Linked DNA regions of Rattus norvegicus. The protein of the gene in region 1 interacts with the protein of each later gene in a biochemical or structural test. Links are inferred from orthologs where the notes say so. Each region holds a gene or a part of one and is shown on either strand. Other genes may lie near its edges.

Evidence for each region.
Region 2: the proteins of Prkar2a (region 1) and Akap1 form a complex in vitro, tested with the Homo sapiens proteins (2 studies listed by BioGRID, with this or other methods). The link is inferred for Rattus norvegicus from reciprocal best matches to the Homo sapiens genes PRKAR2A and AKAP1.
Region 3: the proteins of Prkar2a (region 1) and Rab32 interact in a test that uses a peptide from one of them, tested with the Homo sapiens proteins (2 studies listed by BioGRID, with this or other methods). The link is inferred for Rattus norvegicus from reciprocal best matches to the Homo sapiens genes PRKAR2A and RAB32.

What each region holds. Positions count from the first base shown.
Region 1 is NC_086026.1:118,328,822-118,336,011, reverse strand, and holds part of Prkar2a (cAMP-dependent protein kinase type II-alpha regulatory subunit), read right to left. Parts: intron 3,428-7,190; coding exon 3,286-3,427; intron 2,239-3,285; coding exon 2,105-2,238; 3' UTR 1-2,104. UniProt on the Homo sapiens protein: Regulatory subunit of the cAMP-dependent protein kinases involved in cAMP signaling in cells. Type II regulatory chains mediate membrane association by binding to anchoring proteins, including the MAP2 kinase.
Region 2 is NC_086028.1:74,146,440-74,154,140, forward strand, and holds the start of Akap1 (A-kinase anchor protein 1, mitochondrial), read right to left. Parts: upstream 4,928-7,701; 5' UTR 4,735-4,927; intron 1-4,734.
Region 3 is NC_086019.1:6,776,332-6,784,204, forward strand, and holds the start of Rab32 (ras-related protein Rab-32), read right to left. Parts: upstream 4,928-7,873; 5' UTR 4,785-4,927; coding exon 4,541-4,784; intron 1-4,540. UniProt on the Homo sapiens protein: The small GTPases Rab are key regulators of intracellular membrane trafficking, from the formation of transport vesicles to their fusion with membranes.

The DNA.
Region 1 (7,190 bases):
AGTTGCCTGGCACAAGGAGAACACTGCAACCTTGAGAAAAATCTGCTGTCACCTGATTCTTGAAGCTGCAAAGAGAACTGGAATACTGTCAGGGCCTGGTGCTGTGGTGACAGTCGCCTTTCATCGCCACACCAGCTCCTGCAGACACGTGTACCTCTCCCATGCCCCCATCCACACGTGCTCCGGCACAGGGCCACACTGCAGTGAAGACTCAATCAGTAGTTACAGAACTTGGACTTGGTGCCTTCTCTGTGAAAGAGCAGCCGTCAGTGAGGCAGGAGGGTGACAAGGAGGACTCTGAAGCCAAGACTGAAGTGTGAGGGCAGGCTAAGAAGGCCTACCCCTAGCAGCCTACAGGAATAACTCTGGCATGAGATTCACAGCCAACCCTAACCAAGGCTGGCATGGAGGGTGGGGTGAGGGTTTAGAGTCCTTGTAAGGTCTGGGGCTGGACTTTTGGGCTACTCCTGGAGCCCATTGCACCTCTTACCTTTGCAAGAAATCAGGTATTATTCTGTCAAAGTACAAGGTCTGATTTATTTAATAAAGCGATACCATAGAAAAGGACCTTAGGAAGATTCGGGATTGCTATGAGGGTTTTCCAGTGCTAGCTGCCTGCTTCACAGTAGTTACAGCTGGACAAACCCCAGATCTGTAACGTAGGCTACTCAGAGCAGTCTGAAGAGTCCTGCTTTTGCTTCATGAAACACAAGAAAAAGTGACTTAATTCCCAAAACTGTGGCAACCCATCTACTCTGGACATTTCTTGGCTACAGTGACCAGGGCAAAAGTCGAGACAGTTAGAAAGGCCTTCACAGTAATTCCATGTTTATGCATGATAACCTGTCTTCCATGGCTATTATAGTGCTGGAGACCAAACCCAGAGCCTTGCATGTGCTATATACGAGCTTTGCCACTGAGCTGCACCCAACCCCTACCCCAATGATACAAGTTTTGAAAACAGATATTTAGGACAAATGCCTGAGTCAGTGGACAAACTCCATGTATATGAATACATCCAAGGTGAATTCTCTAAATAGAGAAAAAATTTCCTTAAAAAAAAAAAAAAAGCCTCTTTTTTAAGAGTTTAAAAACTGCGGATTAGTAGCCACGCTGTGTAATAAAGCTACAAGGGAAGGGCTCTCTGTGCAGCACAACCTCCGGCTGGGTAGTTTCTGCCATCAGCCAGGGACAGGGTCATGGCAGGGGCCACTCAGGGAAGTACTTAGGTCAGATAAAGCAATAACACTTCCAGACCCTGGCTCCTTATCAGCACCGTGCTCTGACCAGCTGAGCTAAACGGCCACCCCCGGCTCCTTAGAAATGGATAGCAATTTGTTTATGTAAACGGCACAGAGGTTAAACAAACAAAAAACTTACTAAAAACAAACAACAAAAACCCTGACCCAGATAACCTTTCCTGGCTACACTGGCAAGAGTGCTGGATCCACGTTTCCTGCTAAGCGAGTCTGAGTACCGTCTGCTCCTAGGGACCTGCTGGGCCTTCAAGGGGGCCTTTTCCGGAGCTTGGACACAGCTATATAATGTGTAGCTTCCAGCAAAAGTATAGGGCCCCTGGGGCACAGAACTCCAGTATAACTGCTACCACCTTCCACTGTGAGAGAAAAGCAGCAATTGTGAACACACTGTGGACCTTCTCAAAGGACAAGTGAGGAGACTGAAGGCTCTACCACTTCCTCCCTTGAGAAGGACTGTGGAGTGTTATTCCACAGGTTTCTGCAGACCTCAGAACTTTCAGAAGCAACATTAGCAGCAAGAGAGGAAAGGATGTTTACACTTTGGACTTTGTATCAGGCACTTAAATTGCTGGAGAGACATGCCATTCTGAACCAAACGTGAAACCTGGGCTGGAGTAATCGTGACATAAGTGGTCTAATGACGGCGTTCAGAAGCAAAGTGGAAGGTGGATGTGGGTAGAGCCTCTGTCCATCTTTCAAGACTTCTAAGTGCCCTTTACCACAGCGATGGCAGCAGCAGAGACAGCAGCAGGCGCAGTTCTGTCGTGTCTGTTTTCTGGGTGTGTTCTTGTGGCTGACTGGAAGGATTTGGTATCACACTGAGAAGGCTCCGAGATTCATCACATCTACTGCCCGGGGTCCAACAGATCCAAGTTGGAGCCAAACATCTTCACCAGCTGTTCTTCGTAATGTGAGATGTTCCTCTTCATGATGTCCATGCAGGGGCCCAGAAGCCTCTCAAATGCTTGAACATCCATGACTGCATTGTTAAAAAAGAGGGGTGGGAGAGAAAGATTTGTTTACATTAACAATTTAATTTCCTGCATGTAACCCTTTTCCTAAATACACTACCCACTCATGTTACAGGACTGAATTTTAGAATCCTGGGCACATGGGAAAAGAGGTGCTTCTGCATAATACAGCAGGACTGCATCTCTGCTGAAGACTAATGGTGGGCACAGTAGCAACCACCTGTCTTGTTCCTCCACAGGCCTGGCCACCTGCCTCCATCACTGTTGCTTTCACAGGCCTGTGTGCCTGTTGTGTACCTGTGTGCCTGTTGTGTGTCTGTGTGCCCATTGTGTGCCGGTGTGCCCATGGGCCTGTCTGCCTCCCAACCTGGATTCATTGCTCAGAATTGATTTCTAGGGTGCTGGGGGTAGAGATTTAGTGGCCCAGCATGTGTTTAGAATGTGAGGGGTTGGGGATTTAATTCAGTGGTAGGGCACTTGCCTAGCAAGTGCAAGGCCCTGGGTTCGGTCCCCAGCTCTGAAAAAAAAGAAAAAAAAAAAAGAAAAAAGAAAAGAAAAGAAAAGAATGTGCAAGGTTTTAAAGTTCAATGCCAAGAAAAAAAAAAAAAAAAAAGAAGAAGAAGAAGCTTTGCTGAAGATGGCTCGGCAGTTAAGAGCACTGAGTCACAAACTACCCAGACCGAGATCTGAATGAGAGTAAGCAGAATAAGTCAAGGCTGATAACAGGAAAAACGAACAAAAAAACCTTGTATATTAGAAAAAAATTAGTAATGCACAAAGAATTTTCTTTTTTCATTTTAGCACATTTCAGCCACACATGATAATGGTTTTTATTACGGCCTCCATGCATGTATGATTTGATCGTGTTCATCCCACCCTACCTGCTGCCCAACCCCCCTTCCCAGCCGGTTCCCATCCTGCTCTCCTGATGTCATGTTCTTTTGGGAGGAAGGGGAGGATAGTTTAATTAGGATTATGCCTCCCTCCCCCAGCTACCATTAACTGCCTAAAGTTGGGGCAGGCCTTGTAAGCCCTTCACAAAGACATTTTCTTACCTAAGCATTTGACATCTCCAACCGCATAAGCAGAAGCAGCTCTTGGTTTGTTGGTCACCAGGGCAAGTTCTCCAAAGTACTGCCCCTTATGGCAGTGGGCAATCTCAACCTCCTGGTTCCCGCCGTTCTTGTTCGTTTTAGTCTGCAACAGATACAGAATATGGTCCTGGCTGATTCTAAGATCACAGCTGGGCATGGCCAGTTGTACACACTCAAGTTCCCTTTCCGGAAAGGTCAACAAAATCACTGAGAATTCACATTGCAGAAACTTTGTACCCTGGAAACTCAACAGAAACATCTGTGTGGCTTGGTAGAACTGAAGGATGGTTTGACCTGGGCCCACCCAGGACCCACACGTTAGGTAGAGGCTGCAGCTCCGGCATCTTCTGTGGAGATTACACATCCTGGGAGATGTGACCACTGCACAGCGGAAGCCCAACAAGGTCTTCTGCTCACCCTTCCGTCAGCCATGAGCCAACACACAAGAGGGCAGGCTGGTTCCAGACAGTCTTGAATGGCTCTTTGGTGACATTTTTTTTCCCCCGGGGCTGGGGACCGAACCCAGGACCTTGCGCCTCCTAGGCAAGCGCTCTACCACTGAGCCAAATCCCCAACCCCGGTGACAACATTTCTTTTAAAGTACTTTCTGCACTGACACCTGAGCTGTGCCTCCATTCTTAACAGGTTAAGGACATCCTTCAAACATATGTGCTATGTTGTATTGCTACACTGGGTTCTTATTTCTTACGACTCCATCTGCTAAGTAAGGCAGTAACAACAAATTATGAGAACCAGTCTCTGTCCCTAAGAACCACGAGTGGTACAGGCAGAAAGACAGCCCTCCCCTGACTGGTAACAGAGACTTACTTACTGGCTCCGGCTAGCCTGGGACTAGTAATGTACACCAAGCTGGGCCTGCCTCAAGTGCTGGGATTACAGTGCGTGCTACCATGCCTATAACCCTTTGTTACTTTTTATTTTTTATTTATTTATTTATTTTTTTTGGTTCTTTTTTTCGGAGCTGGGGACCGAACCCAGGGCCTTGCGCTTCCTAGGTAAGCGCTCTACCACTGAGCTAAATCCCCAGCCCCTTTATTTATTTTTTTAAAAAAACATTTATTTATTATGTATACGTCATACAGCTTTCTGCTTGACGTATACAGAAGAGGGAACCAGACCTGATTATAGATGGTTGTGAGCCACCATGTGGTTGCTGGGAATTAAACTCAGGACCTCTGGAAGAGCAGCCAGTGCTCTTAACCTCTGAGCCATCTCTCCAGCCCCCTTTGTTACTTTTTTTTTTTTCTTTTTTTTTTCGGAGCTGGGAACTGAACCCAGGGCCTTGCGCTTGGTAGGCAAGCGCTCTACCACTGAGCTAAATCCCCAACCCTTGTTACTTTTTAAAGAGAATTTTTCCCAGTTTTTGAAAATAAGTATTTTATTCTCATATTTGTGTGTCTGCGTGCGCACGCTCCTGTGCAGGTGTCCATGAAATCCAGAAATGTGTGAGATCCCTTGGAGCTGGAGTTACAGGAAGTTGTGAGCTGTCCCAATGTGGGATCTGGGAACCAAACTTGGGTCCTTTGGAAAAGCAGGACATGCTCTTTAACGGCTGCCTTTCCAGCCCTTAAAGGGTGTGTATTATATGTGGGCTTACTTATTGATTTTATGTGTATATGTGTGAACCCCTTGCTTGTATGTATGCATGTACAAGTGCCCATGGAATCCAGACAGAATGTCAGAGCCACTGAAGCTGAAGTTCAGGTGATTGGGATCTAATTGATATGAGTATTGGGAACTGAACCCGGGAACTTTCTCTGCAAGAGGAGTGAATGATCTTAACCACTGAACCACTACTCCAGCCCCTTAGAGGAGTGTTTTAAAATGTTATTTTATGTGTGTTTTGCCCACATGTGTGTCTGTGCACCCAAATGGTGGAGGCTGGAAATAAAAGTCATATCCCCTAGAATGGAGTTACAGACAGTTGTGAGTGGCCGTGTGCTGGGAATGAAATCTATCTCCTGGAACAGCAGCCACTGCTCTTGACTGCTGGTCCATCCCTCCAATCCCTAAAGGGAATTAACTAATTAATTAACTAATTAGTTTATTTTTGGTTTTCCAAGACAGGGCTCCTCTGTGTAATCCTGGTACTTGCTCTACAGACCTTGACCTCAGATTCGCTGGGTTCTGCCTCCCAAGTGCGCCTGTGTATGCAGCACATGAACACAGAGGTGGGTACCTGCTATTCTCTTTATCTCTTCATGACTACTCCGCTAACAAGCCTCAACTGTCTTCTGTTTCTACCGTCTTGGAACTGGGACCACGGGCATTTAGAGGTTGTCTGGCTTGTTATGTGGGTGCAAGGGTTCAATCTGGTCCTTATGCCTATACGACAACTGCTCTTAACTCTGGAGTCATTTCTCTTGCCCCAATTCTTTTTCTTTTTTCTTTTTCTTTCTTTCTTTCTTTTTTTTTTTTTTTTCCGGAGCTGGGGACCGAACCCAGGGCCTTGTGCTTGCTAGGCAAGTGCTCTACCACTGAGCTAAATCCCCAACCCCTCTTGCCCAATTCTTTAATTTTTTGAGGTTCACTTATTTTTGTGTGCTTATGTGTTTAGGCATGCGCACACCACAGCACTGGTGTAATATGCAGAGGACAGTTTTTGAGAGTCAGTTCTCCCTTTCCACTTTGTGGGTTCTGAGGATCGAACTCAGGCTGTCAGGCTTTGGGGCCGTCACCTTTACCCACCAGGCTTCCTGCTAGACCGTGTTGTCGGCCTTAGTTCTCTAAAACACTGTTTTTTTGTTTTTTGGTTTTTTTTTAAAGATTTATTCATTTATTATATATAAGTACACTGTAGCTGTCTTCAGACACACCAGAAGAGGGCATCGGATCCCATTACAGATGGTTGTGAGCCACCATGTGGTTGCTGGGAATTGAACTCAGGACCTCTGGAAGAGCAGTCAGTGCTCTTAACCACTGAGACATCTCTCCAGCCCGCAAACACTGGTTTTTAAGTCTGTGTATGTGGGCCTGCGAATGCAAGTGCTCAGGGAGCCCAGAAAGGAGATCAGGTTCCCTGGAGCTGCTGTGAAAAACAGACTCAGAGCCCCTGTGAGAGCACTGTGCATTCTTTTTTTTTTTTTGGTTCTTTTTTTTCGGAGCTGGGGACCGAACCCAGGGCCACCCAGGGCCTTGCACTTCCTAGGCAGCACTGTGCATTCTTAACTGGGAAGCCATCTCTCCGGCCCTGCCTTCTTTATTATCTTTAAATGCAATTTAAATGCAAATCTCCCCCCCACCCCCCAAGGAGCTGAGGACCCAGGGCCCTGCGCTTGCCTAGCAAGCCTCTACCACTGAGCTAAGTCCCCAACCCCTTAAATGTAAATTTAAGACACTCTAGTTTACATCTTTAGTCTTTTCATCCCTCCACGGATATGGGAAGTGGAGTCAAGAGACTGAAAATTCAAAGTCATCCTCAGATATATACATGGTTGAGTTTGAAGCCAGCCTGAGCTACATGAGAAGGAAGAGAGAGAAAGAGAGAGAGAGAAAGAGAGGGGGAGAGGGAGAGGGAGGGGGGAAGGGGGAGGAGAGGGATAAAGAAAAAAGATAGCGGCCATCCAGCATTCTTCCGAGCTACAGGTCATCAATTACAACCTCTGTCTATCCATGAGAGCCATGCGAGTAACATAATGGAGACTTTCCCCAGGAGTCCTAAACTGTGGATGCCGTCTTCACATCCAACCTTGTATGTACCTGTTACATAATGCTCCTGTATTTATAGTTTTTATAGTTTTCTTATTTATAGCTTAGTAATCCTCATTTCACTAATTATATGAGAGAGGCAAAATCGGGAAAAGAGAAAATGTACTAAATCTTTTGTTGTTGTTGTTTTTTAAACG
Region 2 (7,701 bases), on another chromosome or scaffold:
CTGCAAGGGCCAAACAAAGCAGACCCAGGACCAGATTGTTGTATTAACAGCTTTTTCCCAAATTAAAACATTCCATCCTGCAGGGGAGCTATTTAAACAAGAAGGTAAACTACTAAAATTAGCTAAGAACATCCTGAAACCGAACAGATTCACTAGGCTCCTCCTGCCAGAGTAAACTATAAAAGCTGAGAGTCCTTTTCAGAGGGGGGAGGGGGTAAGCTGAGCTACAAAGAAGGGAGCTGCAAAGACACAAAGACCAGAACAGCTGCCTAGAAGCAGAAGCCATGCTGCCTGGAAGAGGTTTAGACCAGAGAGTCACTTGGAAAGGACACTCTCCAACCTGCTGAGCTGCCTGTAGGATGTGCAGTGTGCTCCAAGTTCCCAGCTCTGTGAGCTGTCACCCATGCTTGGGTGGTATACACATGGGTCTGTCATGTGATCCCTATCGGGGGTGAGTAGACTGTGTGTTGCATCTCACCAGGAAAAGTTCTGTCACACAACATGGATGAAAAGGATCATCTATAAATAATGTCCACTCTCCACAGGCTACACCAACATTACGGGATCTACACCGTGACACCCTTGTCCCACTGCCTTCTGTAAAGGACACCTCCTAACATTAAGACAGGCTGCTGGGAAATGGGACACAGTAGCTCATGTCTGTAACCCCAGCACTTGCAAGGTTCTGACAGAATGACCTGAGGTCACCTGGCGGTATATCGTACATGCCTAAGATACACAAGCAGACCCTGCCTCAAAAAAAAAAAATTACTGACACAGAATGAAAAGTCACACTGGTTTAACAGAGAGGTATCATACTGAGGTCCTTTGGAAGCTATCGGGTCTGGTGATATGACATAGGCAGACCAAAAACAATGAACACAGACCCCAGGTAAGTTCTCAAACCAAGGTGGCTCAACCGAGAGGCTCAGCTCTGGCTGCTCCACTTCATACTCGGGTCCCCCAGACCTCTCAGTAAGTTCATTCCTCAGCCTATTTCCTAGAAACCCATCCCTCTCATCCCCCTCCTCGCTGTAGACCAGAACTTGCTTCTTTCTTAGCATGCCATGGAAAGAGAACCTCTAGTGACCAAAGGGTAGTTCTGTTTGTGAACTACAAATGAATAAAACCCAAACACACAGTGCTTTTCAGACATTCACAGGTTGAGGCCATTAAGGTTTTAGAGTAGGACAAAGAATATTCTAGACTCACACAATCCAAACTCCTTATGGTAATGAAATGTTGACTCCCCAGGGTGGCAGGCAACCATATTCCTCCAGCAGCCCCACCAGGTAGCTTGCCCTGAGTCCCAGAGCAGAGTCAGAATTCTTTACAGGTATAAGCCCAAGCCTTGACCTGCTCTCCAATCAGAACACTTTGAACACCTTCAGTTCACCAACTCTCCTTTACCAATTGAAAAAAAACAAAAAAACAAAAAAACAAAAAAAAACAGACCCTGGATGGCCAATCAGCTGGCAGGAGGTTGGAGAGACACAGCAAGCCCTGACCTCTTTAGAGTTAAGGCCAGCAGTAACAGGCCTCCTCTGTCCTGAGCACTGCAGGCTTCTCCTTCCTCTAGAACTAACCCCCTTGCTTTGCTTTGCTTCTCTGGGCCTCAATGACAAAGCTAAGTAACACAAGCCACAGGGAACAAAATGCTTATTAACATGAACTGTAGGAGCATCCGAACAGCAAGGGCTTGGACAGAATGATGTTGCTGAACCCAAAAAAAACCTCAAATTGTCCCGGCATGGCAGCAACACTCCTCCATACCCTCCCCAATGTCATGCACCATCTGGAAGAGGACAACAAAGTCAATGACAAGAAGGTTAGCAAGGATGGTGTGTGCTCGAAATCCCAGCACTTGGAAGGGTGGACAGGAGGGCTGCAAGTTTAGGCTGGCCTCATTTACATAGCCTGACTCCTGTCTCAAAAGGGGGGAGGGGCACTCTGGACCTAAAGGTCAACTGTCCAGAACTTACCATGCATAAGCCTATGTCCAATCCCAAGTGCTTGAGAGAGACTGACTACACCAGGAAGGAGAAACAGAATTTGCCCTATGAAGCCAGATTTAGGACTTAACACACCCCACTGTAGAGATTAGTAACTCTCAAACATTATGATATCCATGGCACATGGAGCCCACAGAACCCAGGCATCTCCCCATAATAAAGTTCCTAGGATTACTATTCAAAGAAAAACGCCAGATACAAACTTCCTACAGACAGGAAAGAAAACTGAGCCGCAGAGAGGTCCAGGCATGTCAAACTCACAAGGAACATTAGGAAGGAGTAGCCAGGGAAAACAGGGCAGCTCCCCGGGCACATGAGCTCCGATGCCTTAAAATGCCGGTGCGATCAAGACATGCTGACCCAGGAGGCTAGGTGGCAAAGTGAGGGTAAACCAATTTGTCTTCCTTTTCCTTCTAACCAAGTTACTAGGTCAGAGGCTAGGGGAGGGAGTGCTTTTATATTTAATCAAATGACCGAGAGACATTTGACAGGGATTCCTTGGGAGTGAGGGACGCCATACTTAAGTGCCTACCCTATACCAGGGATAGTCCCAATCTCCATCCATGTTTAGGATGAGAAAAGGAAAACCGGAAGCTAAAACTACCTTATTCCGCAAACTAGCTATGGCCAGCTCCACAAATAATCTGGGTACCTGGTAAGGTAGCAAAGACAGATTGCTTTAAAGTACTGAGGCTCTGCAAACCTGACACACTGCCTTCAGCATCTGAGCAGGCATCGTACAACTGATACCTGTGTATCTTTGCTGTCACCCTGCAGTGGTCAAGTGAGAATGAGACTCCTACAATTATCTGGGAGATGGGAGAACCCCGGGTAGACAAACTCACTAGATTTCCATCAGGTCTCACCCACCGGCCCCCTCTACAGAACAAAGCCTTCTGATTTAGCAAACTGACCGGAAGCTTTAGTGATTTGCACACACGCCCATAGGGTAGGAGAATGTCCTCTAACCCAAGGCCATTCACAAGACGACACCCAGGAATTACCCAGAACCTACAAAACAGGTTAGAAGTAAAAGAAAGCTCAACAGCAAAAAGCTGTCAAAAACCTAACCCTTGGGCTCTGCAAGACTCCTAAATAATCTGAAGGTGAGCCATTTAAATGCCAATCAGAGAAGACTCTGACTCGAGAGCGACTCCTTCATCGAGTTTATAGATGCTTTGTGGCTTTAAGAGAGAAACGGGTAGGAACCCCTAAGGATCTAAGCCTCGATTTTCTAAAGCGTTTAAAACAAAACCAAAAACCCCAAGGTTACTAATTGGGGAAGGATTTCGCACTTAGAGGAGCGCGTCTGATTATTGGTTTCCGGAAGCAATAGCAAATCGACAGAGAAGGTTACACTAGGTGCGGCAACCCCGATTTCACTGCAGGCGTTACATTTAAACCCCAAGCAGCCTCAACTTCAGTAGTGGAAAGAAAGATAGGCAGTTTAACCTCACTAATTGCCCTACACATACACCCTACCTTACCGGTTTGAGGAGCCTCCACTCGCACCTGGAGCGAAGTCCACCGGGTTTGTGTTAAGCACAGCCCAAGGGTAGAAAGGTACTAGTCGCTCGAGGCATTTCCCAGAGAAGAAAGGTCCGGGTTAACACAGGGTTTCTCGGAAGTCTCTTCTGCACAGCCCAATACTATTAGCACCTTCCCACCCGCAGAAAGGAAACAGGAAAAGATAGGACAAGGGAGTAGTTGACACCAGAATGTAGGCTCCTTGACGCGTACGGAGGCTTCTCTACACGCAGGTTTTTACCTACAATCGTGGCAAAGTCCCCCCCCCCCATGACCCCTTGCAAAGTCCCTCCAGATCACTGTCCTGGGGCGGGAAGAAAGGTGGAAGGCGACACGTGACCCTGGACCTCCCCACCCCCGCCAGAGGTCAGCGGACACCTCTAGCTAGAGGTCTTCCACCTTTTGGGACGCGCTTATGGGGCCACAAACTCTAATCCCCTTTCGGACACCCAAGCCCTCGACCTCCGGTCCTAATTGGTCTTATGGTCCCTTCACCGCCAAAAGGTTTGGGACCTGTCTCGCATCCCGTTCTCCCCGCTGCAACAGTCCTCCAATAATTCGCGGCACTGAATCCAGGAATTGTGCCACTGCCGGGCAAACCCAGAGCGAGTGAACTGGGCCCAGCAGTTAGGAAGTTAGGAAGTACAGGGGTTCCCAAGGACCTCCTCTCCCGCCTTGGGCACCGGGTCCTGGGCAGAGACAGCCCCGCTGCCTCCTCTCCATGCTCAAACTGGGTACACACGACCTTTGAAAAGTAAACGCTAGCGAGGCTGGACGACCTTGGGTGGGACGCGCTCGGGCTCGCTACCCAGAAGGGTGAGCCGGCACCGGGAAAGTTGAGGCTCACCGAAGCGCCCGGGGAATTGCGCCCTCATCTCCATCCCAGAGGCCAGTGACATGAGGGGGATGGGAGGGGAAAGCAGCGGCTCAAAGCAGCGCCCCAGGCTCAGCGCACGCGATCTGTCAGTAGCAGCCCGCGGGCAAATCGCCGGACAGGGAAGGAGCAGGGGGGGCGCGCGGGTCACCAAGGCTCATACCGGACCGCTTGACAGCAGGCGCCGTGCACAGGACTCTCCGTCGCCGGAGTACCTGACGCACGCGTCGCCCTCTGCACCTGCACCCCAGGCTCCCCATCACCCCAACTCGTTCTCCCTCCGGGCCCGGCAGGAGGATGCCCGCGCCAGCCGTCACTTACCTGCTCCGGGGCGACCGTCTAGGCGCACAGTCCTCCCGCCACCGCCCCCGGGCCCCCCACCTAGCCCAGCGGCCCTGCCCCGCAGCGCTGCAAGGCGCTTCGGCCGCTCCCCCACGTGCTAGCCCAGGCCGGGCGAACACAGAGACATTAAATACTGAGGACGCGCAACGACGTGCCCGCGGCGCGACGCAAGGCCCCGCCCCTCGCCCTCGGCCCCCTGGCGTGCCCCCCTCGCCCGCTCGCTCTCCTGCGCGTGCGCGCCACCAGCCGCTCCCTCCCCCGACTTGCGCGCGCCTCTCTCCTATCTGCGCCAAGAGGGGCGCGGTCTGGAGCGCTCCGCTGATATCCCGGCGCCGCTCGGGCCCGCCTTGCTGGCGCTCTCGCGAGAGTAACTATAGTCACGGCAGGCGTGGGAGATGATCCTACGTCCCACAAGGGCTGGGGTGGGTTACCCATGTCTGAGCGCTAGGCACAATGAACTTGGCTCGCTTGAGAGCTCTTCTTCTCCGGGACGGAGAGGTATCAGGCAGGTTCCTGCCTTGGGATGGTGCGTCCCATGGAAAAGGCAGGAGCGGCTGGTGAGAGACGAGGTTACATTGTTCCTCTTACCTAGGAATTGAGCTGTCCCGTAACTTTGCTAGTATAACGTAGCATTTCGAGTATATTAGGTGGCCATTAATTGATCAGTAATATGGATAATGTGTAGCCCTCGAGGGCAAGTTGCTTTCTCATTTTTGCAGCTTTAGTGATGTCGATAGGACTTTTCTCTAAATGATTTGAGTTTTTGCAAAGTTTGCCTTCGAAGAAGTGGTCACCATGAGTCACTGCCTCCTCCCAACAACATGAGAAAATAAAACTATCATCAGACAATTGGATAGGAAGGAGGTTCCACTTGCTAACCAGCCCTGCTCTGATCCTTAAAACCTAGGCACTTTAGTTTCTTGTTTATTTTGATATTCTGAGATTGTGTCTCATGTAACCTACACCGGCCTCAAACTCTCAAACTGTCAAGTTCGAAGCTGACCTTGAACTCCTGATCCTCCTGCCTTCACCTCCCCGGAGTGTTAGCATTACATAGCACTTTCAACGCATATTTTTGTACAAAATATAGAAAAGATGCCATACCACGAACGAACCATTACTTGGGAAAATCTTCACTGGTGATTAAATGTGAATTTATGTTTTAAAAGGAGACTGTATGCTTACTGAGTGGTAAATATAATTTCATGTATCTACTGTTTCACTCATTTATTTCCTGAGGCAGCACTTGGGAAGCTGAGGGAAGAAGATTACCACAATTTCAAGTCACCCCAGGCTACCCAAGTTGAGATCCTATCTCAAAGTAAACCCCCCAAATTGTTTTTAAAGATTATTTTTATGCGTATGAGTGTTGACTACACACAGACATTCATTCACCACTCGAGTGCCTGGTGCTTGGGAAAGCCAGAAGAGGATGTTGGATCCTGTGGAACTAGAGTTACAGAGCAGTTTAAAGCCTCCATGTGGAGGCTGGGAACCGAATTCTGGTCCTCTGGAACATTTGATGGTGCCCTTGCCATGAAGCCTTCTCTCCACCACCACCCGGCCGGTCAAACTTAAGTCCAATAATACCTGTTCTGTAAATAATAGTGGATTAGTGACTGACCGTGGCAGAAGGGAACAAACAAGAAACCTCATTGTCATTGGAGATGAGATACTGGCCTGAACTAATGGCCCATCATTGCTCAGTGACTCTGGGGTGTAAGAGGTAGAGGGAGGGGGTTGGGGATTTAGCTCAGTGGTAGAGCACTTGCCTAGCCCTGGGTTTGGTCCCCAGCTCCGAAAAAAAGAAAAGAAAAAAAAAAAGAGGTAGAGGGAGGCTCACTCCTGTTGTGTTGGTTAAGGAATGGGGAGCGCTGGTGAACGAGCAGCATTTGGTTTATTTGGGGCCCATTAACTTTGTTTTGGTTGTTTTGGTTTGTTTTGGTTTTCAAATAGCAACTGAGTTGGATATGCAAGTCTGGAGATCAAAGGAGAATGGGTAGGGAATACACATATGTAAAAATTGTGTAAAGGGGGAATACACACCACACTTCCACACATATCTGAGGCTCTTTTAATTTTGCTTTGCTCCATGTAGGTTTTTTACTGGTAACTCAGACTGGCCTCTGAGTTGTGATTCTTTTATGTTGGTCTTCTTAGCTCTATGATTACAGCTCTGTGTAGCCGGGCCTGGCTCAAAGGGGGGATATTTTTTTTTCTTTTTTTTGGAGCTGGGGACCGAACCCAGGGCCTTGCGCTTTCTAGGCAAGCGCTCTACCACTGAGCTAAATCCCCAACCCCATAGGGGGGATATTTTTAAGAAGAGGAAAAAAAGCAGAGAGTGGAACGGGGGATAAAAATAGGAGAGATAGCTTCAAGCAGTAAGGCTATACAGGCGTGAAGACCTGAGTTCAGATCCTCATCACCCAAGTTAAAAACTAGGTGTGTGGGTGGGATGAGATGGCTCAGAGGGTAAAGGCAAAGCAGGAAGACCTGAGTTCAATTTCCAGGACCCACTTGGAAGAAAATAACCAAATCCTAAAAGTTTCCTCTTCCTCTTCCTCCCCTTCCTCCTTTTCCTTCTTTCTTCTCCTCTTCTTCCTTTTCTTTCTCTTCTTCCTTCTCCTCTTTCTCCTCCCCTTTTTTCTTCCCCCTGACATTTCTACCTCTGGAGTGCTGGTGTCACAGAAGTGCATGACAACCCTGGTTTATGTGGCCTTGGCTGGGGAATCAAACCCAGAGCCCCTGGCAGGTAGACCAGCACTCTACTGACTAAGCTACATCTCTTTTTTTTTTTTTTTGGTTCTTTTTTCCGGAGCTGGGGACCGAACCCAGGGCCTTGCGCTTCCTAGGCAAGCGCTCTGCCACTGAGCTAAATCCCCAGCCCCTAGAATTTCTTTTTCTTTTCTTTTCTTTTTTTTTTTTTTTTTTTTTTTTTGGTTCTTT
Region 3 (7,873 bases), on another chromosome or scaffold:
CTCCATCCCCTGACAGTTAACGTGAGTTACCCATTAAGACACAAGGTCACTTGGAGGAGATGTCCAGCTTCTGATTAGTAAATAGAAGCTCTCATAAAGAAAATCCTTAAATCTCATGGTGTCCTTCAGAGGTCAAATACTGGCAACAAACAATCTCTAATCGTAGAATTTTTTAAAAAGGATTATTATTATGTAAATTAAAACTCCTTGCTAATTTGTGTCCAAGCTCATAATAGCTTTAAATGATGACATTGTTCCTAAACCTTTAAACGAATGTATTCAACGAGAACAAAAGGTATCCCGTCTTCAGATGTAAACAGTTATCCATGTCCATAAACTGGCCTCTACCAGAGGCTCCTGAGATGGCCACTTAGAGAGTGAGGATGGCCCTTCTATGGAAGTGCTGTGAAACACGGGAAGTGAAGGGCATGGAAGGTGTGACTGGCGGAACACAGATGCCAAGTAGGCCGTCTGATTCACTGATAAGTTCCTGAAGAGTAGTGGGAGTGTGGGTGTGTTGCCAGGGTGCAACAGAGCCGAAGACAGAACAGTGCCTCTCAGCTCTAGACTAAATCAGAGTCACCCACGGTGCCTGACGGATGACAGTCTTCCAAGTGGTTCCAATTCTGACTCAGTAGGTACATTAGTCTCAGCTCCCCTTTACAGAATGCTTTGGAGCGAGCTCTGTGACCAGTTTGAATCACGAGTCTTATGTTTCTTAGCTGCCTTTGAACCGAGACAGGCCCATTTTACTGGACCACTGAAACAAATAATACATCCTTGGAACAGCTGAGTGGTGGAAAGCCAGTTTTTGTCTACGAAGATTTCATGCTATTGTACATCAGTCCTGGCATGCCCGACCCCAGACTTAGGCATGAAAAAAAAAAAAAAACTCTTCTACTAAGCCGGTTTGGATGGACACGTTTGTCAGATAAAGCCAAGTCTACTGTCAGAACAGATGCTAAAGAATCCGTGTATATTCCGGACAGTAGATGTTAATAAGGCCCCGGTGGTTCTGGTGAGAGATACTTAGAATAGGAAGGACAACACGTTCAGATTGATCTCAGGAAGCTACCACAAGCCATGGTAGAGGATGTGTAAGTAAACTGTATAGATACAATCTATTAGGGGAAGAATGGGGTGGGAAAGAAGCCAGGCTATCTGTCAGTTAAAAAGACAAATAGGAAGCACAAAGCTACATCTTTGTGTATACATTCTGTTGTTGCTTTTTCCCCCATCTCTGCCTCAGAAATCAGACTGAAGGAGCCACCCAGGCCTGGCTTGCTGGGTCAAAGGGCCAAGGTTTTCGATGAGAACACTTGGATGGAATTCTAAAATGTTTCCGTGATCTCATGTCTCGCCATTCAGAAGACATCCCCCATGTTTATATGGAAAGAGAAAGTTCCATATGGAAAGCTGATTAAAAAAAAAAAAGTACCCAGCATCCCATATGTATGTACAACGGATGCAATGTCTCCAAGAACGTATTTGAAAATAACACTTCATTCCTGGGCTACAGAGTTCACTGGCAGGCTTCATTAGTGAGTGTTTACCTGAGGCCAGGCGCACATCTATAATTAATGCTTCGATTTATTTCTTTAGGGTGTGTTCTTGTAGCCATGTACCAGTGAAACAGCTCAACACATCTCAGAAATGTCCACAGCTTAGAAATTCTTTCAAAATGCATTTTTAAAAAGAATGAAGCCAATGAAAACCTGTCTGCCGTGGGAATTCTGAACTTCCTGGGCAAAGAAGCATGAGATGTCGTGAGCAAATGACTGGAAATGTTGGGATGAAGGCAGTAAGAAATGGTAATGGTCGAGTCTACAATACGAGGTGCATGCTCTAATTTGGGCTCCTTCAATGATATGAGAAACACTTTGTTGAGCCATATACCAGAAAACTACTATGGTCTTTAATTTGAAGGGATTACACAAACCTGTTTGGCTGCATTTGTAGAAAGCGTTCTGTAATTCTCGCTTATTATACTTCTCAAAGCTTCTCTGATTGCAGATTTCTTTATGGCCCTGTCCACCTCTACGACCTCCAGGACAACGGCATTGAAGAGGAACTAGCAAGTGAGTCATGGCTAGTGGCTGGCTCCAACTTTTGTTTTGCAACCAGGAAATACTTTAATCTTCTGGAAGTCAGTATGATTCAACCTTGTAAGTTGCACACAGCATATGCTTTACAGAATATTTTGGAATATTCCTGCGGGGAGCGTTCTGGCATGGGCTCTTTACCCAACTTCTCCCTCATTCAAATGGTATGAGCTAAGAAGGATTCACTAGTCCCTCAAAAGTTCAAATCAAGCAGAGTCAAGGCCATGTGTAGTTCTGCAAATTCCAACCCCAAACCCAAGTTATTTGTGTCTCTTGATACCTGCATATTAAGACATCTTGCCTCAAATTCAGACTCTCTGAGAAAAGCCTAATAGTCTAGTTATGTCCTAAGTTTTCCTCTGGTTCTGTTGTTTGGAGTTTTGTATTTGCTAAATGCTACAAGAGTTCCTGTTGGTCAAAAAGCAACACCTAACACCAGAGATCCAGTTTGCAGACTGTAAAACGTTTCTCTCCTTTCCAGTAATGCTCAGACGTCAGATTTTGGCAAAGGTACAAGGATGTGTTATTACAGCAGACAAATGGGCTCTGTCTCCCTCCAGGCTACGGTGTCTTTTCAACGAGGATGAAGTTGGGTGGAGTGGCTCATCCTGGTAGTTTCAACAGTGGGGTTGGTATACAAAGAGCAGAAGTGATATACAGAAAGAAGAGGTGGTTGCTTTTCAGATTTTTTGAAACAGGGTTTCTCTGTATAGCCCTGGCTATCCTGTAACTCATTATGTAGACCAGGCTAACCTCAAACTCAGAGATCTAACAGCTTCTGCCTCCCAAATTCTGGGGCTAAAAGCAGGGGCCATCACCACCCTGGACCCCTGATTTTGTTTCCTCAACTCTCCAAACATAATTTAACATAGCTCATATCCTACTAATTTGCACATAATAGAAGAAACTGAACTGCCATTCCAAGCAGGGATTCCAAATCACCTCTGTGAAAGAGATGCACAGGATATCCTCATTGGTGAGGGTCACACAGTAAGGCAACCTTCAGGATGTGAGACAATGTCAAGAAGCAACAGAATGCCCACCAGTTTTCTGGGCAGTAGGAGCGAGTGTTGCCAACGAAGCCTCTGCCTTTAAAGGGTGACACTTGAAATACATTCTTAGTTGTTGCAGGAGGCAAAAAAAAAATCAAACAAGCTGAACCGAAGGCGAAATAACTTTGAGAAATTGATAAATGATATGCATAAATCCATTCTTCTTACCCATGTTAGACTCTGCTCTTAGGCAAACGAGTATAAGGTTTATAAATTCTTTAACACTTCCTCAGTGGAGTGACTATAAAAGAACACAGCACTTACTAACTGGCAGGCAGAAATCACTGTCCCTCTAGGCTACTGCCAGCTGTAGTGTAACCACACCCCTCTGGGGCTTTGGGGTATGCTCCCTGTGGAAAGGACCATAAGGTGTTCTCCGCCTTAAACAAGCTCCCATTCAAACGCTTGGCAGACGGAGCTCCTGACCGTTCCCAGTGATTGAGCAGGTTAACCTTTGCTGCTTGCCACTTCTATTAAACTTCACTAAAGTTCACCTTTCCTTGAACGCCCATATGGGCACCTACCACACCTGCTAGAATTCAGGGGATTCATAAATCAGCCCTCGAAGACAATGGTTCTTACATTCCAGAGCAATAATTGAAAGCAAAAGAAAACAATTCAGCATTTGTGGGATAGGGAGGTACCCACGAGAAGGCATTAAGTATTGGCTTAGTGAGGGGAAGGCATCGGGAAAGTTTCAGAACTTTCCCAACCCTTCCCCAGGGTCACCAGGCCTCCCAAGTGAGAGGAATTTGAGGAATGGAGTTACCCCTCACAAAGGCTTGGCTAGGTTCCAAGTTTTACTCACCCACAGCTCCAAACCCTTTTAGTAAATTATAAGTTTGGCTCCGGAAAGAGAAAGCCCTTACTTCAGAGAGGCACAGACCCAAGTCAAGTTGGGGCGGGGCAGGGTTGAAAAGTAAAGGGGCTTTGTTGGTTTTAGTTGTACCACTAAGGCAGTGGTTCTTAAAGCTGACATCCTTTAACACAGTTCCTCATGTATGTGGTGATAAAATTATTTCCGTTGCTATTTCATAACTATAATTTTGCTACTGTTATGAATCATAATGTAAATATGTGCTCTCCTAAGATCATAGGCTACCCTTGCAAATGAGGTCGGGGCCCAAAGATTGAAAGCCGCTGCACTAACTGGTAGTGGAACTTCAGGCACGCCCTTTAGTCACTAAAAAGTACAGTAAGAGAGAGGCCTCCGAAAGTCAACTTTTCAGGACGCTTTAAGCTCCTCCAGGTGTCCCTCATCTCCTGTTCTATTTGCCCACTTTTAAAAGCGCAACTGCTGAGAGCTCAGGCAGAGACAAGGACAGACAAGAACCGGGAGGCAGAGAGAAGTGAGAGTCTGGTGATATTGGGACACTGCCCTCTTACCAGCGATGTCCCACAGCTGCAAGCGCACGAGCGTCCTGCTGTCCCAGTTGAGGACTTTGAGGGCGAAGTCCACGCCAATGGTGGCGCGGTAGTTCTGGGAGAAGAGCTGGTGCACATAGCGCTTGATGATGCTTGTCTTGCCCACGCCGAGCTCGCCGATGACCAGCACCTTAAAGAGGTGCTCTCGGGTCTCCGGAACCGCAGTGGCCGTTTCGCCCTGTTGCCCGAGTCTCTCGCCCGCCATGGGCGCCACGGCCGTGGGAACTTCTCTCTCAAGGGGGACAGGGCAGATCCTCGGTCCGCGCACCCGGCGATGCAGTCATGCGAGTCACGGGACCCGGAACCTACTGCGCGCTTCTGGCCCAGGACAGTCTGGGTGCACCCTACACGGGGCGAGCCTGGTCCGGCCACTTCCTTTTCTCGTGCGACTCTGCGCGGTCCACAGCACCCCCTGCTGGCCTTAGACAAGGGCAGCGGGAGGTCAGTGCTCCGGCTGAGCCAAGGTCCTCGATGTCTAGATGTCTGTCAGATGACAGAACTTGCAAAGGACTAAAGCTGGGTCCTATGACAAATCAAGTTTTAATGTGTTAGAGGAAGTTGCATGCTTTTTTCCATAATGACCGGAATTTCCATCGTCTGCAATGCTGTGCAAGCATTCTCTTTTCTCCACACCCTTAGCCAACACAATATCTCCCGCTGTTTCGGTAATAGCTATCCTAATAAACATGGAGTTTTGATTGACACTTCCTTGATGGTTAGTGATGTCAAGTTCTTTTGTTATACACACGTTGTCCATTTTTATATTCTCTTTAGAAGAATGTTCCTTCAGATAGTCTTGCCTATTTGATAATCGCGCGTTTGACGGTTCTGTTTGTTCGGTGTCCAAAAATGCGAACTCCTAAATGTTTGGATGTGTGGCTTACATATATTTACTCCAAGCCCATAGACTTCTTTCTTCGTTTTGCTTTGGTGGCCAGAGAAATTTCTAGCTAGTGAACGTCCATCAGTCTGTTTCGGCTTCAGCTTTGGCATGATTTCCAATATCCATTGTTAAGCTCAGTGCCAACAGGTGAGCCAGAAATACGTACTTGAGGATATGCCCTAAATAAATGAAATCAACTTCTCCAGGGAGGCGACTGCACGGCTAAATTCATAACAGTATGAATTTATAAGTGAGAAATTTATTTATAAGTGAGAAATACCACGTGTTCTATGGGGTATTGTTGGATCTCCTCTATCAACTTCTCCTGCTGCAAGTGGTACACACACTCCAACACCCATACATCCACACATCCAGCTTGATTTTTTTCTCCTTTTGCATGAGTACCTAGGAGTGAAATTTCTTGATCACGTAGCACCTCTATTTACATTTTGGGGGATCAACATCTTACTATCTCTCGCTACGCCTGTAGTATTGTCATTTGCCAAGATCCAAAATTTCTTTTTTCATTGGATATTTTTTGTATTTACATTTCAAATGTTATCCCCTTTCCCAGTTCACCCCTTTCTCATCCCCCCTCCCCCTGCTTGTATGAAGATGCTCCCCCTCCCACCCACCCATTCCCACATCGGTGCCCTGACATTTCCTTACTCTGGGGCCTTGAGCCTTCAGAGGACCAAGGGCTTCTCCTTCTATCGATGCCAGACGATGCCATCCTCTGCTACATGTGCATGGCTGAAACCATGGGTCTGTTCCTGTGTATTCTTTGGATGGGGGTTTAGTCCCTGGAAGGGGAGCTTTTTTGGGGGGGTCTGGTTGGTTGGTATTGTTGTTCTTCTAACAGAGTCCCAGGGGCTGTCAATTCCAAGACCATACTTTGGTTTAGAGTTCAGTCATTTCTGTGTCTGGCTGACTCAACCAGAAAGCCTGTTTTCTAAGGAACTCAAACTTTCTGTTTTATCTTTTAGAGGGAAAAACCCTGGAATCTGCATCTGGCGAACAAAGCATGATGAGCTTGAGGCACATTCATGACTTAAGAATGAAGATTTTCGTAATTGCAAGTAATATAAGCAGTGAACAGTATCTGAGTTGCAGATGGTTGCAACATAGAAAGGAGGAGTGGAGAGATCTTCTAATTCTGGACTGGTTTTATGGGGTGTGTTGGTTTGAAGATGCATGACAATTGGAGTGAGTGGCACTATTAGGAGGTGTAGCCTTATTGGAGTACATGTGGCCTTGTTGGAGGAAGTGTGTCGCTATGGGAGTGGCTTAGTCTCCTCCTAGCTACCTGGAAGCCAGTCTCCTGTTTGCCTTAGTAACAAGATATAGAACTCTCAGCTCCTCCCACTAGTGCCATACCTTCCTCGAAGCTTCCCACCATGATGATGATGGACTGAACCTCAGAACAAGTAAGCCAGCCCCAATTAAACATTGTCTTTTATGAGCGTTGCCTTGGTCATGGTATCTTTTTACAGCAATGGAAACCCTAACTAAGATAAAGGGGAAATAGTTTTTGTTCTCATTCATAACAAAGAAAATAATACAAATAAAATTTCCATTTGCTACATTTAAAAGTGGCTTCACTCGATGTTCTCACATAAGTTTCTTTTGTGTTTTTGAAAAGAGGGTCTTACTCCATAACTTGAATTTGAGATCTTGTTACTTTAGCCTCTCAAGTTCTAGGTTCATAGCCCAGCCTTTCCTCATAGCTTTCCCTTCTGTGTTTTCTTTCTCTTTCATTTGGAATCTATTGCCTACAGTTGAGCCATCTCAAGCTGTTCCAATCAAACTCTCCATTGTTTATATGCTAGTTAAAAGGTTTACCTTGTCACTCCTGGTAGACATATATGTTAGTTTATAGATTCAAAAGCTTACAGTTGTGTCAAGAAGTGTTTTCAGACACTTGAGTTAGAAAGATAAACAGATTGGACAAAGTTTTGGTCTCAAGGACTCCATGTTGGAGTGAGTCCCAGGGAAGCAATTTTCAAACATGCTGATACTTTTTTTGCATATACACTTTATAAAAAATACTATTTAGTGATCATTGGATTACTTTAGTAATCAGCATGATATTCTTGAGACAAACATTGGAAATAAGTTTCAAATATGTTTTTCTTGATGCTCACATTAAAAATCAGCCAGTTTGGGGTCATAATAGAAAAGTTTCCTGTGCTCTAGGCTGCCCACCCTGTCTTAGTTCACAGGTTCTCATAAGAACGGGTCTGTTTCTGGGCCACCTCTTCCTCTATCGGCTTATGTGTCAGACTTGTACCAATCTTTATGTGGCTACTGTATCTTTGTTATATAGTTTCTTCTAAACCACACCTCTTTCTTCTATACTCTGTGTTTGTATGTGTATGTACAGGCATGTTTGCGCATGTGCATGCGTGTGT